3 linked regions of the Drosophila melanogaster genome follow. The protein of the gene in region 1 purifies or fractionates together with the protein of each later gene. This does not show direct contact. Each region holds a gene or a part of one and is shown in the gene's direction. Other genes may lie near its edges.

Region 1 (3,751 bases):
CCATTTTAACCTCTTGTTTGGTGCTCTCCATTGCTTTCTTTTTAAGATCCCTGACCAGCAGGAATCGTGTATGTTCATCCGAGCTAATTTGTCGGGTGCACTGTTCAATGGCCGTTGGGGTGAGAATGCCCTCCTCATTGAAAAAGTCACACAACTCTGCATAGGTAAGCGTATGTCCGCCCATCTCCTGTTCCGCCTGCTCTAAGCTTTCCTGAACGGCTCGGCGCTTGAGGAGTCTCTTCATCTGGAAGGAGCAGAAGTCATCGCTGCGGGCGGGCAACTCGTGCAGACGGCCCCACGACGATTGCTTGCGCGTCTCCTTGATGTCTGTAAGGATCTCGTGTCGCACATCGGCTGGCAGATTCCGAAAATGCTGACTCTTTACATCGATGGCCTGTAAGCTAGAGTTGTAAGAATGTCGAGCGGTTGACTCGTCAAAGGAGCTGTCTGAGGCACTGGCACTGGTGTCCTGCTCGCTTTCATCTTGATTATCTTGCACCGATGCAGCCGGCAGTTCGGGAAGCTTAAACAAGTCATCCTCGTCGTTCTTCTTAGCTGGAGGCGGTCGCTTAACCGGGGATTTCAACAGTAGCTCTGCATTCTTGCCCAGCGCTTGCTGCACTACTTTTTCTTTGGCCAGGGATTGAAGGAGCAAAGCCTGAATGCGATCAGCTTCGTTGCTGAGCTTATTCCTCTGCTGCTGGCGACGTGCCTGAAGGGGTGACATAAAGAGGATTTAATTTAGAGAGTGAATTTGATATATTCCCCTATTATAACTCACAATAGTGTCCCTTTTAAGCTGCGGCACGCATCCATCGAAAATGAAAACCGGTCGCACACGATAGTATAGCAATTTACAGAGACGATGGAATAGACCCAGTAAATGGGCATTACTCAGGGCCGATCCCTTGTTGTCCTGAAAGCCCTTCACAACCTGATGCAACCAAATCGATATATCTGCAGGACGAAAAGTACTCCAATCAGCAAGTATTTCATTAGGTGGCGAAAAACGATGCTTACCCACTGCTAGGATTTTGCCCTCCAAAGTCTCTACGGGGACTGGCTTGCCGCACGGCTCAATGAGCTTCCACAAGCCCGTAACTCCCATTTTCTACTAAAATATTAATTGTATAAAACATGCAAAATAATAACTAACTAAACTTTTTGTTGCGATAAGACGCGCTTTTTTAAACAGCTGTTTCCAGTGCTGGAAAGAACACGCGGTTATCTATCTGGATGATTTTTAAAACAGTGATTTTCTGATCACATATATAAACAAATAATTACTGAAATACTTAAATATTATTCTGACACCTTTATATACTTTGAATGAAGGCGTAAAAAACTAGATCGGACTGGATTGAAATGCGGCATTATTTAAGGGTGTAATTCCAACCGTCACTTACAATCCCAAATTAATCCCATGTAAACGTTGACTAACAACATAATTTAGTCTTTGAGGAAAGTGACAAAACACAAGTGAAGTTCTTAGATAATGCCTATGTTTAATGTTTTTTGTTAATGCTCAATACTAGCTTTGTTCTTAATGACTGAAGAGGATAATTGATCCGTATAGTTTCTCCTATTCGTAATCACTCGGGGGCTTCCTCTGCTGTTGCGGTGGCACTGGCGTTGGCATTTTCGGCAGTGTTGGAATCCTTCTTGCTGGCCTTGCTCTCCTTTTTCTCCTTGACCACTTTACGATAGACCTCGAGATCCTGCGTCAGAGAGGGCACGAAGCTTTCGAAGTCTAGCTCGGTGAGGGTCTGTAGAATATCCTTGGCCGTGATGGTCTTGTGGTTCTGCTTGTGGGCCAACGCCGTCGACGAGGATGTCACGAAGATGGCAAACACAGATGCCGCTCGGGCGATCGCTGCTCGCGCTTCCTTGCTGACACTAGCTGACTCCGGCAGTGCTTCCTTGATGAGCCGGCCAATCACGGCATTCGGCAGGTTAAGATCCTCGATGCGCTCGACCATTTTGCTGCTGCTTATCTGCTTTTACTTGGTGGGCACTTTTGATTTTCCGTCTAGATTTCGGCGTCTTTGCTTCCCGCGTAAAGAGTAAACAGCTGGCTGAACAGTGTTGGACAAGGCCAGCGTGCACGCATCTACACCAGCGATGTGGCAACTCCCCCACTCAATTCTGTTTGCGCCGCCTCGTTCGCATCAATTGTTTACACATTTTTATAAATAACAGCCAATTACCCCGGCCTAAATGTGCACGGAGCGATTCGGGCCAAACTTGAAGCTGTTCCCCTCCGAACTAACGTGATACAAGTCCTGTGCGTGTGCCAGCTACCACGCACATGGACCAGCAACAAGCGACGCCGCCAAAAAAACGCAGGCACAGCGAGTACCACGATCCAGATTATCAGCAAACGGAAGTTTCTAGCCAGGATGAGGAAGAAACCTGCGCAGAAGCCGAGTCGCCCGGTCAAAGAAAGTGGACCAAGACGGAACAGTCGGATGGCATGCTGCCGTTGTCCGACAAATTTCAGCGCATCCGGGAGCTGCTTCGTCTGGAGTTCCAGCGCGAAATCTCTCAGAAGGTCGAGCAGCTGGCCGAGATCGACCGACGACTGCTGCAAGGACGACAACTGTTGGACAGACTACGCTATCAGGTGGTCAGCGAATATTACCGAAAGCAGCAGGTCCCCCTCACCGGCGCGGATATTGCGAAAGTGCGCGGCGACAGCCTTTTTGGGGACGACATAGCCGCTCCGCAGCTGCCACTGCATCCAGCCATTAAAAAAATCGTTGGCAAGCGCCCTGTTGTCATCCAAAATCATTTGCCAGAGCGCACGGCGGCCACCTTGGCCAAAGAAACCATCCGACTGAGGAATCCGGCTCATCGTCGGGCGGAACGAAGGCGGCAACAGAAGATCAAGGAGCAGGGCATCGTAACCGATCACTCCAAGGACAAAAAAGATCAGCCAGAGCAGGAACCTCCCATTTCCGTTAAGTTGGAGGACGAGCAGCCGTGCACCAGCCGACAGGCCCACGAAAGGCAAGTGGAGCTGAATGCCTCGCGGCTGAATAACAAGAACAAATTCAACTTCGTGGTGGGTAATACTTCCAAATACATTGGCGAAGACTCTCGAGAGAATGGCACAGGTGGGAATGCTTTGACCTATAAGTGGTTGGTCTATGTGCAAGGCAAAGATCTACCTGAACCACTTGAAAAATACATTAAAAAGGTAAGTAATTCCCATAAGCACGTACGGAGTGATTCAATCTCTTCTTCGCAATTCTAGGTGCGCTTCCACCTCCATCCGTCATACCGCCCAAACGACATCGTGGACGTGCACAGGTCTCCGTTTCAGCTTAACCGACATGGTTGGGGCGAGTTTCCGATGCGCATCCAGCTATTTTTCCAAGAGCACTTGCAGCAGAAACCCGTGCAACTAATGCACACGGTGGTGCTGGATAAAACAATGTGTGGACTGCACACGATGGGCGCAGAGACCACTGTGGAAATATGGCTGAGAGCAAAACAGGCGATAACGAAACAGAAAAGCGGCAAACCTCATCCTCCCCATGAACAGGAGACTGCAGTTCCTGCTCCACCTCTGGCTGCTCCGAATGTTTTAGAGCCTTCGGTTTTCGCCTTTCCTGGAGAGTCATGCAAACCGCGCACCATTTCAATCACTCAAAATAAGGAGGAACTTGATGACAATCTGTTTGCTGGTATCAACAAAATTGAACTCAGCGACGACATTGAGAAAATTGAACCAACTGTGTTGGTTTCA
Region 2 (3,751 bases), on another chromosome or scaffold:
TGGATTTTCGGACTTTCCGTCGACGGTTTTTGGAGCGTCAATGGAACGCCTCTATAATGTACGAGTAGACGCTGCCTGGCACGTTTACATAAATATAATTTTGTAATTGTTTTTTTTTGTATGGGGACCAACTGCTAACAATACCTAAATAAAGTACACTGTTGTGCCAAAGTTAACCAGACAGCTTTTTCTCTTACCTCCCACTCGAAGTCCCCCCCTACAAGGTCTCCTCCTAAAGTCCTAATATCACAAGCGCAGATTCCAATCATCCGTTCTCATCACCTGGCAACCTGGCGACGGCAGGTACTTCTGTTCATCTGTTCATCAATTCATCTGTTCATTTGTTCATCTGTTCCGCTGGTTTATCCATCTACTACTCCCTAGTTTCCTTCTTCTCGTATATGAAAATGATGTCCTCGTCCGTGCCGTAGGCGCGTCGGGCCGTGTCCATGGACTCGATGAGGCAGCGACAAATGTCTGTGGAACGCAGCCAAAAACGAAAATCAATGAATTTTCAAGGATTGCTACCAAATGGAATACTCACGGCCATCGTGGACCTCGGGATTGTGGTAGAAGAGCTTCTGGGCGGCCATGTCATATCCGCAGAGCACCACATAGTGTCCGGCATACCTTTTGGGTCCATGGAGGCGTGTATTTTGAGCAATGCAGGGTATATGAAAACAGCTTTTCATTCGAGTGTGGATTTAAGGTGGTTTTTTGTGAATCGCCGGTGGCAAGAGGAACTCACCCGAACTTCTCTAGGACATTGCGCTTGCACACCTCGCACGTGAGCAGCGAGGCGTTGGTCAGCAGGATGACGGGTCCGTGGCGGGCCAAATGCCGCAGAATGACCTCCATGTCCACGGTGCGCTGTTCAACGCGCAGTCCATGGGCCCGGGCGTCCTTGAACTTGCGCGTCACGCGCCGTTCGTCCTTGTCGATGATCTTGGAGTAGTACGTGTGCTGCGCGTAGTTGGGATCGATCCCGAGCGTTTGGGTGAAGTACTCGTGGCGCACCTGGCCAAGAAGAGAGTGTCAAAGAAGTGAGCGAATGCAAATGTGCATCACGGCATGCCCACCTGGTAGCGCATCAGCAGATAGCACAGGTCGATGGTCCAGGTGCTCGAGCCAAATCCCTCCTCGCCGCACACGGCATCAAAGTTCCCAAGAAGCTGTTCCCTTTGCTGCGCCGACAGGATCATAATGATGCAGGACAGACCGCAGTCCCAGTTGTAGCGCTGCTGGTAGTGCGTCAGGTTGTAGTGCTTGCTCGGCGGCAGTCCGTTCATTCTGGCCAGCAGCTGGGCTCTTCTTGGCTTCTTGTGCTCCTCGGGTCCTCGAGTCCTTGGCTCCGTGTGCTTCGCGTGCTCCTGTGCCCGCGGCTGCGCTCCTTTGATCCTGGCGTCCAATTGGAAACTGAACTGGGAATGTTTTGGTCTAACAGCTTGGGCCAGTGTGGCCAGGTGCAGCTGTCTGCGGAATGCCAACTGTCGGCTATGTCCAGTTGAAAAAAATGCCAATTGAATTTTTTTAGATATATATTGTAAATATTGTAATTAAATAATATTTATACATAAATTGTGAGTCGCCAAAGGAGTTAGATGTATTTTCCTACAAATCTTGGTTGCTGCTAGGAAATTTTTGGTTTGAAATCTTAAAGGCGCAAAAAATGTTCTAACACTATGTAAATCCTTCTTAAGCCCTTCAAAATTGACAGTTCAGTTAGAATTACCTGCAATTTTAAGACTAAATAACTACTGGCAATTGGTATAAATTTAAATGCAACTGTACGCGAAACTTCAAACATGTATGAAACGATCTGGCAACGTCGAGCTAACTGCATGCAATTTGGCATCGATGTGCCCGATGCACTCCCCCTGATAGTTTCAGCGGGAAACTAAGAGTCCCATTCTAGAATCATCCCCCAAGGACGAAAACATCCCAAATCTCCCTAAAAAAAAAAACAAAAAGCAAGGAATCGAGTAAACACGTTCCACCACCGCTGTGGCAATCCGTGGCTGGTGCGCAACGGCCACACTGACGCGCTGACCAATTTTTAGTTATTAGTGTGACCTTAAGCATTATTATTTTCACGTGTGGCACGCAAACGAGCCAAAAAACCAAGCGCCTATTTAAACAAACAAATCACACGCCCAGCAGAGAGAGCAGCCGGTGACCACCGGTAACGGGAGTAGCTGCAGTTAATCCGACAGGCCCAACAAATTCGCCCGCTAATTGGCGGCGTTTCTCTAGTCGGAACAACAAGAAGAAGAAGCACGTGTGCGGCGTGCCAAAGAAAAAAGGAAAATAAACAAGGAGGCCAGGCCAAGGAGCATAAGCAGAATCCGCATCCGGAGGACATGGTGCCCATCGGAGCCGTGCACGGCGGCCATCCCGGCGTAGTGCATCCGCCACAGCAACCACTGCCCACGGCGCCCAGCGGCCCAAACTCGCTGCAGCCGAACTCGGTGGGCCAGCCGGGGGCCACCACCTCCTCGAACAGCAGCGCCTCCAACAAGAGCTCGCTATCCGTCAAGCCCAACTACACGCTCAAGTTCACGCTGGCCGGGCACACCAAGGCGGTGTCGGCGGTCAAGTTCAGTCCGAATGGCGAGTGGCTGGCCAGCTCCTGTAAGTACATACATCCCTATCCACGAATATCTGGGGGGGAATTTTATGGTACTGAACTGCTATTGGACTGAACAGGCAGCTTTGGCAGCTCAGTTAATGGGAATTGGGATGAAATAAGATCTCGGAAAAGAGAAGAAGCATTTATAGAATACATATTGTACATTCCATACATACAGCACATGCCTATTAAACTTCCACTTCTAACCCTCAGCCGCTGATAAACTAATCAAAATCTGGGGAGCATACGATGGCAAGTTCGAGAAGACCATTTCGGGCCACAAGCTGGGCATCAGCGATGTGGCCTGGAGCTCAGACTCGCGACTCCTCGTGAGCGGCAGTGATGACAAGACGCTCAAGGTCTGGGAGCTGAGCACCGGGAAGAGCTTGAAAACTCTGAAGGGCCACAGCAACTATGTGTTCTGCTGCAACTTTAATCCGCAGTCCAATCTGATCGTCTCCGGCAGCTTCGACGAGAGCGTTCGCATATGGGATGTGCGCACCGGCAAGTGTCTGAAGACTCTACCCGCCCATTCCGATCCCGTTTCGGCGGTACATTTCAATCGCGACGGATCGCTGATCGTGAGCAGCAGCTACGACGGCCTCTGTCGCATATGGGACACGGCCAGTGGACAGTGCTTGAAAACCCTGATCGACGACGACAATCCGCCCGTCAGCTTTGTAAAGTTCTCGCCCAATGGCAAGTACATTTTGGCCGCCACGCTGGATAATACGCTCAAGTTGTGGGACTACTCGAAGGGCAAGTGCCTGAAGACGTATACGGGTCACAAGAATGAGAAGTACTGCATATTCGCCAACTTCTCGGTGACGGGAGGAAAGGTGAGTTCATATCTTATGCACATTTAGGCTTTAACTCACAAGCGTCCATTGTAGTGGATCGTGAGTGGCAGCGAGGACAACATGGTCTACATTTGGAATCTGCAGAGCAAGGAGGTGGTGCAAAAGCTGCAGGGACACACCGATACCGTTCTGTGCACCGCCTGCCATCCCACGGAGAACATCATTGCTTCCGCGGCGCTCGAGAACGACAAGACCATCAAGCTGTGGAAGTCGGATACATAGAGTGGCTGGTATCCAGCTGGAGGACGTTCGATCGGAACAC
Region 3 (3,751 bases), on another chromosome or scaffold:
CGGGAGAACAGCGAGAATCGCTTGACCCAGTACTTGACCATTTTGTTGTTATCCTCTTGCATGCACTCTGGCATCCTGGCCTTGAGTTTTTTTATTTGCCTTTGCCGTCGTTTTTTCTTTTTAACAGAACCGCTCTGAACGCCGTGCAGAGCCTCGTTTTCGTTGTTCTCCATGGTCAACAGATCATGATCGTCCTCGCTATCGCTGCTAGATAGTTCGTACTGTGTCTTTCTTTCCTTTCTATAATTAATTATATCTGCCTTCGACGCAAATGATGTTGGCAATCCGAGAAGGCGCAGCTGTTGTTCCTCGTCACAATCCTCGGGATCGTCGTTGGCAGTCAAGTATGATTCGTCCTCCTCTTTCTCTGTGACCCTTTGCTGTTTCGATTTTATTGGCTTATTTGTAAGGCTTAGGTTCTGCAAGTCCTCCTCAACATCTTCTGAGTTTTCAGCGACGTCAAGGCCAAATGATTTGGCCAAATCGTGTTGGTAGTTCTCAAAGGCACAGCTAAATATATACCAGAACTTTTCACTGTAATCGCTGGCGTGCTTCTCCCACAGTTCCTGCCAAAGGCCTTGCTCCTCCGACGAAACCACCTCGATAAGATCTTTGTATTCGGGAAACCGCTTGTGCCACTTTTGCTCGAGCAGCTCATGCCCCTCACGCTGCCAGAATTCTTTCCAGGTAACGTTTTGAATGCCCCCCCAATTGCAATTATTCCAGTCGAAATCGTTACCAAAGAGCTGACTGAATATATAGAACTGCGGATTGGTTCGCGAGGTGGTCAGGTGGTGTGTGTTCATTTCTCGATCAGACTTCTCATCTCCAGCCTGCGAGTCAGCAAGTCCTCGGCTCTGTCGATGACCTGGATGTACCATAAGTCGATGGCCGGTCTGTAGGTGGCAAGTAGCGCGCTGAGATACTGTTTTTGGGCCAACGGATCGTTGGACAGACTATTGATCTTGTCGTAGACACCGCCGGCGGTCAGTTTGGCACCTTTGGGATGCTGCACATTATGTAGCACCACTTCACCACGCACAATGCAGTAGCGGCCGGTACTCACGCGATTTTCGACGACTTTGTCATGGGTAAGGCCAAGAATAAGCAAGGATACGGTGCCCTCGCCCAAGGAGTACTTCCTGAAAGATGCAGCATCATTGGTAAGGACCGGATGGATAGGTAATATAGAAAAACTTACTTTGGCAAACACTTAACGCGCACGTTTTCTAGGCGGTACTGATTCGCCTTGAACGCCAGACGTCCAATTAATGCGCACTGACCGTAGTGCAGGTTGTGGTAGGAAGTTTCCAGCTCCAGTTCCTCCACCAGCAGGGTCTTGAAGAAGTAGCAGTACTTGGGCGCTCTCGAGGTAGAGGCTTCTGGCACCAGGGACATAACTCTCTTGGAAAAAAACCAAGAATTCCGAACAAAATCAAAACACCCGGAATGATAAACTCAACATGCTTGCTAGTGTGACCAACGTATCTACGCACGATGCGACCCACCTATCGATAGCTTCTTCGCCAGTTATAGCCCTGCCTTTCTCATCACTAAAAACAGCGACATTTTATTGTGCAAATTAGAATTTCTTAATATAAACTTTAACAAACTGAGCAGTTCTTAGCTCACTATGTCTTTTATGAACCCCGTGGATATGGTGGATGAGGACGCCGCCGACCTGCAGTTTCCCAAAGGTAACCAACGCCCTACACCAACCGAAATGCAACTTACAAGTGAAACTGGCTGAAACCTTTGGCTTCGAGTGCCCCAAAAGTGGCACTCCTCCACATTTTTACCACACTGAATTGCCTCTTTGCAGTTGAGCCACTGGGGCCACAGGTTAAGCGGTTCATCCATGCACATCAGAATGAACACACCAGGAACTCCATGGTTTTGTATAATCCGCACACGTTGCACAGGTACTTGGAGGAGATGGAGGAAAAGACGCGGGACCAGAATAGCAGTGTTCCATCGGCTACAAAGGATGCCAATCGGTGTGCCACATGTCGCTGCAGTCTCACAGAGCCGTACATTAAGTGCTCCGAGTGCCTCGACACCCTGCTCTGCCTGCAATGTTTCTCACGTGGAAAGGAGGCCTTTTCTCACCGCAATAACCACGCTTACATCATAGTCCGCGACAACATACAGGTTTTCGCCGATGAGCCACACTGGACGGCACGGGACGAGCGCATACTGCTGAAAACACTTCGCACCCACGGCTATGGCAACTGGGAGGCGGTCTCCCAGGCTCTGGACCAGCGCCACGAACCCGCAGAAGTGCGTCGTCACTACCACGATTGCTACTTTGGCGGGATATTCGAGCGGCTCCTTAATCTGAAGCATGCGAGGGACAGCTATGTGCCCGAGCGAATGCCGTATGTCTTCAAAATGCGCAGCTTGGATCCACCACGTCATGACGACATCGCCTCCATGCAGTTCAGACTAAGCGCAGGTTACCGCTGTGCAAGAGGAGACTTCGATACTCCGTACGACACCTCAGCAGAGAGTCTGCTATCTATTATGGTGGATCATAGGGGCAGGGATGACGACAACGAGGCGTCTGAGAGTGAGTTTGAGCGCGAAGTGACAGAGGAATTGCAACTCGGACTAGTTCGGGCATACAACAATCGCCTCAGGTATGATCTTATAACAGAAAGCTACTAAAAAAAATCTAATATGCATATTTACTCACAGAGAGCGCCAGCGTCGTTACAAGATAATGAGGCAACACGGTCTCATAATGCCCAATCGCACCGTCAGCTGGATTTCCAAGTACGTGCACGCCTTTGGCAGCGATGCGAGTTGCATGCGTTTCTTGGGCTTCATGCAGATCTGTCCTGACCCCATTAAGTTCGATATGCTGTTGGAGTCTCTGCGTTATTATCGGGAGCTGCATAGCCAGCTGCACAAGCTATACGATCTGCGGGAGCACGGCGTTCGAACTCTTTCCGGAGCCAAATTATATGCCCGCTTGAGCAAAGAACGTCAGCAGGCTCAGCGAGATTACAGCAGGCTGAAGCAAACAGATGCTTTCGACTGGCAGCAATTGGTGCAGCATTACGAGAGCAACAGGAGCGGTGATCCTGGTCCCCTGGCCATTAACTCAAAGTTATATGTGATGAACACGCGTCGAAAGGCCAGTCCCATTGAGATTGGAGGTGGGAAACACTTTACTCATTGCCTGACACCAACTGAATATAATTTTTCTTTGATCCCAGATCTGCCTGGTTACTCCAAACTGGATGATGGCGAGCGAAAGTTGTGCAGTGTGGCTCGTCTGGTTCCGCAGTCGTATTTGGACTACAAGAATCAACTCGTTACGGAGCAAGCAAAGCTCGGATATCTACGACTGGCCGATGCGCGACGTCTCATCAAAATTGACGTGAACAAAACGCGTCAGATCTACGATTTTCTGCTGGAACATGGCCATATCAGCAGACCACCGTCCTATGGCTAGGGCTAATTTTTTCTCCAATGTTTCACTTGTAAATTTCCTGAATGTCGTCAAGTAACTAATTCAAGAAAAAAAAACCCTTTCGTTTCTCTTTGTTTCAGAGTTCGAAAATGCCGAGACGCTGCTGATATCGGAGGTGCACATGCTTCTCGATCACCGAAAGCGACAAAACGAATCCGCCGACGAGGAGCAAGAGTTCTCCGAGGTCTTCATGAAGACGTACGCCTACACGGATAGTTTTCGAAAGTTCAAAAACAAGGAGACCATAATGTCTGCGCGAAGGTAATGTAGCAA

The links.
Region 2: the proteins of D12 (region 1) and wds purify together in Drosophila melanogaster (affinity purification with mass spectrometry; 3 studies listed by BioGRID). This does not show direct contact.
Region 3: the proteins of D12 (region 1) and Ada2a purify together in Drosophila melanogaster (affinity purification with mass spectrometry; 3 studies listed by BioGRID, with this or other methods). This does not show direct contact.

Annotation. Positions count from the first base shown.
Region 1 is NT_033779.5:8,435,733-8,439,483, reverse strand, and holds the start of D12 (D12), read left to right. Parts: upstream 1-2,118; 5' UTR 2,119-2,308; coding exon 2,309-3,199; intron 3,200-3,256; coding exon 3,257-3,751. Other genes in the region: mus201 (mutagen-sensitive 201), read right to left, coding at 1-712, 782-957, 1,021-1,108; Chrac-14 (chromatin accessibility complex 14kD protein), read right to left, coding at 1,593-1,979.
Region 2 is NC_004354.4:2,583,919-2,587,669, forward strand, and holds the start of wds (will die slowly), read left to right. Parts: upstream 1-2,061; 5' UTR 2,062-2,360; coding exon 2,361-2,631; intron 2,632-2,842; coding exon 2,843-3,468; intron 3,469-3,522; coding exon 3,523-3,711; 3' UTR 3,712-3,751. Other genes in the region: CG13760 (uncharacterized protein), read right to left, coding at 374-477, 545-684, 749-1,017, 1,080-1,289.
Region 3 is NT_033777.3:18,253,263-18,257,013, reverse strand, and holds the start of Ada2a (transcriptional adaptor 2a), read left to right. Parts: upstream 1-1,526; 5' UTR 1,527-1,633; coding exon 1,634-1,697; intron 1,698-1,777; coding exon 1,778-2,639; intron 2,640-2,697; coding exon 2,698-3,460; 3' UTR 3,461-3,558; coding exon of another isoform or gene 3,559-3,739; intron 3,740-3,751. Other genes in the region: Tgs1 (trimethylguanosine synthase 1), read right to left, coding at 1-806; moi (modigliani), read right to left, coding at 803-1,142, 1,202-1,398; Polr2D (RNA polymerase II subunit D), read left to right, coding at 1,634-1,697, 3,559-3,739. UniProt on the Drosophila melanogaster protein: Component of the histone acetyltransferase (HAT) complex ATAC; predominantly involved in acetylation of histone H4, including at Lys-6 (H4K5ac) and Lys-13 (H4K12ac).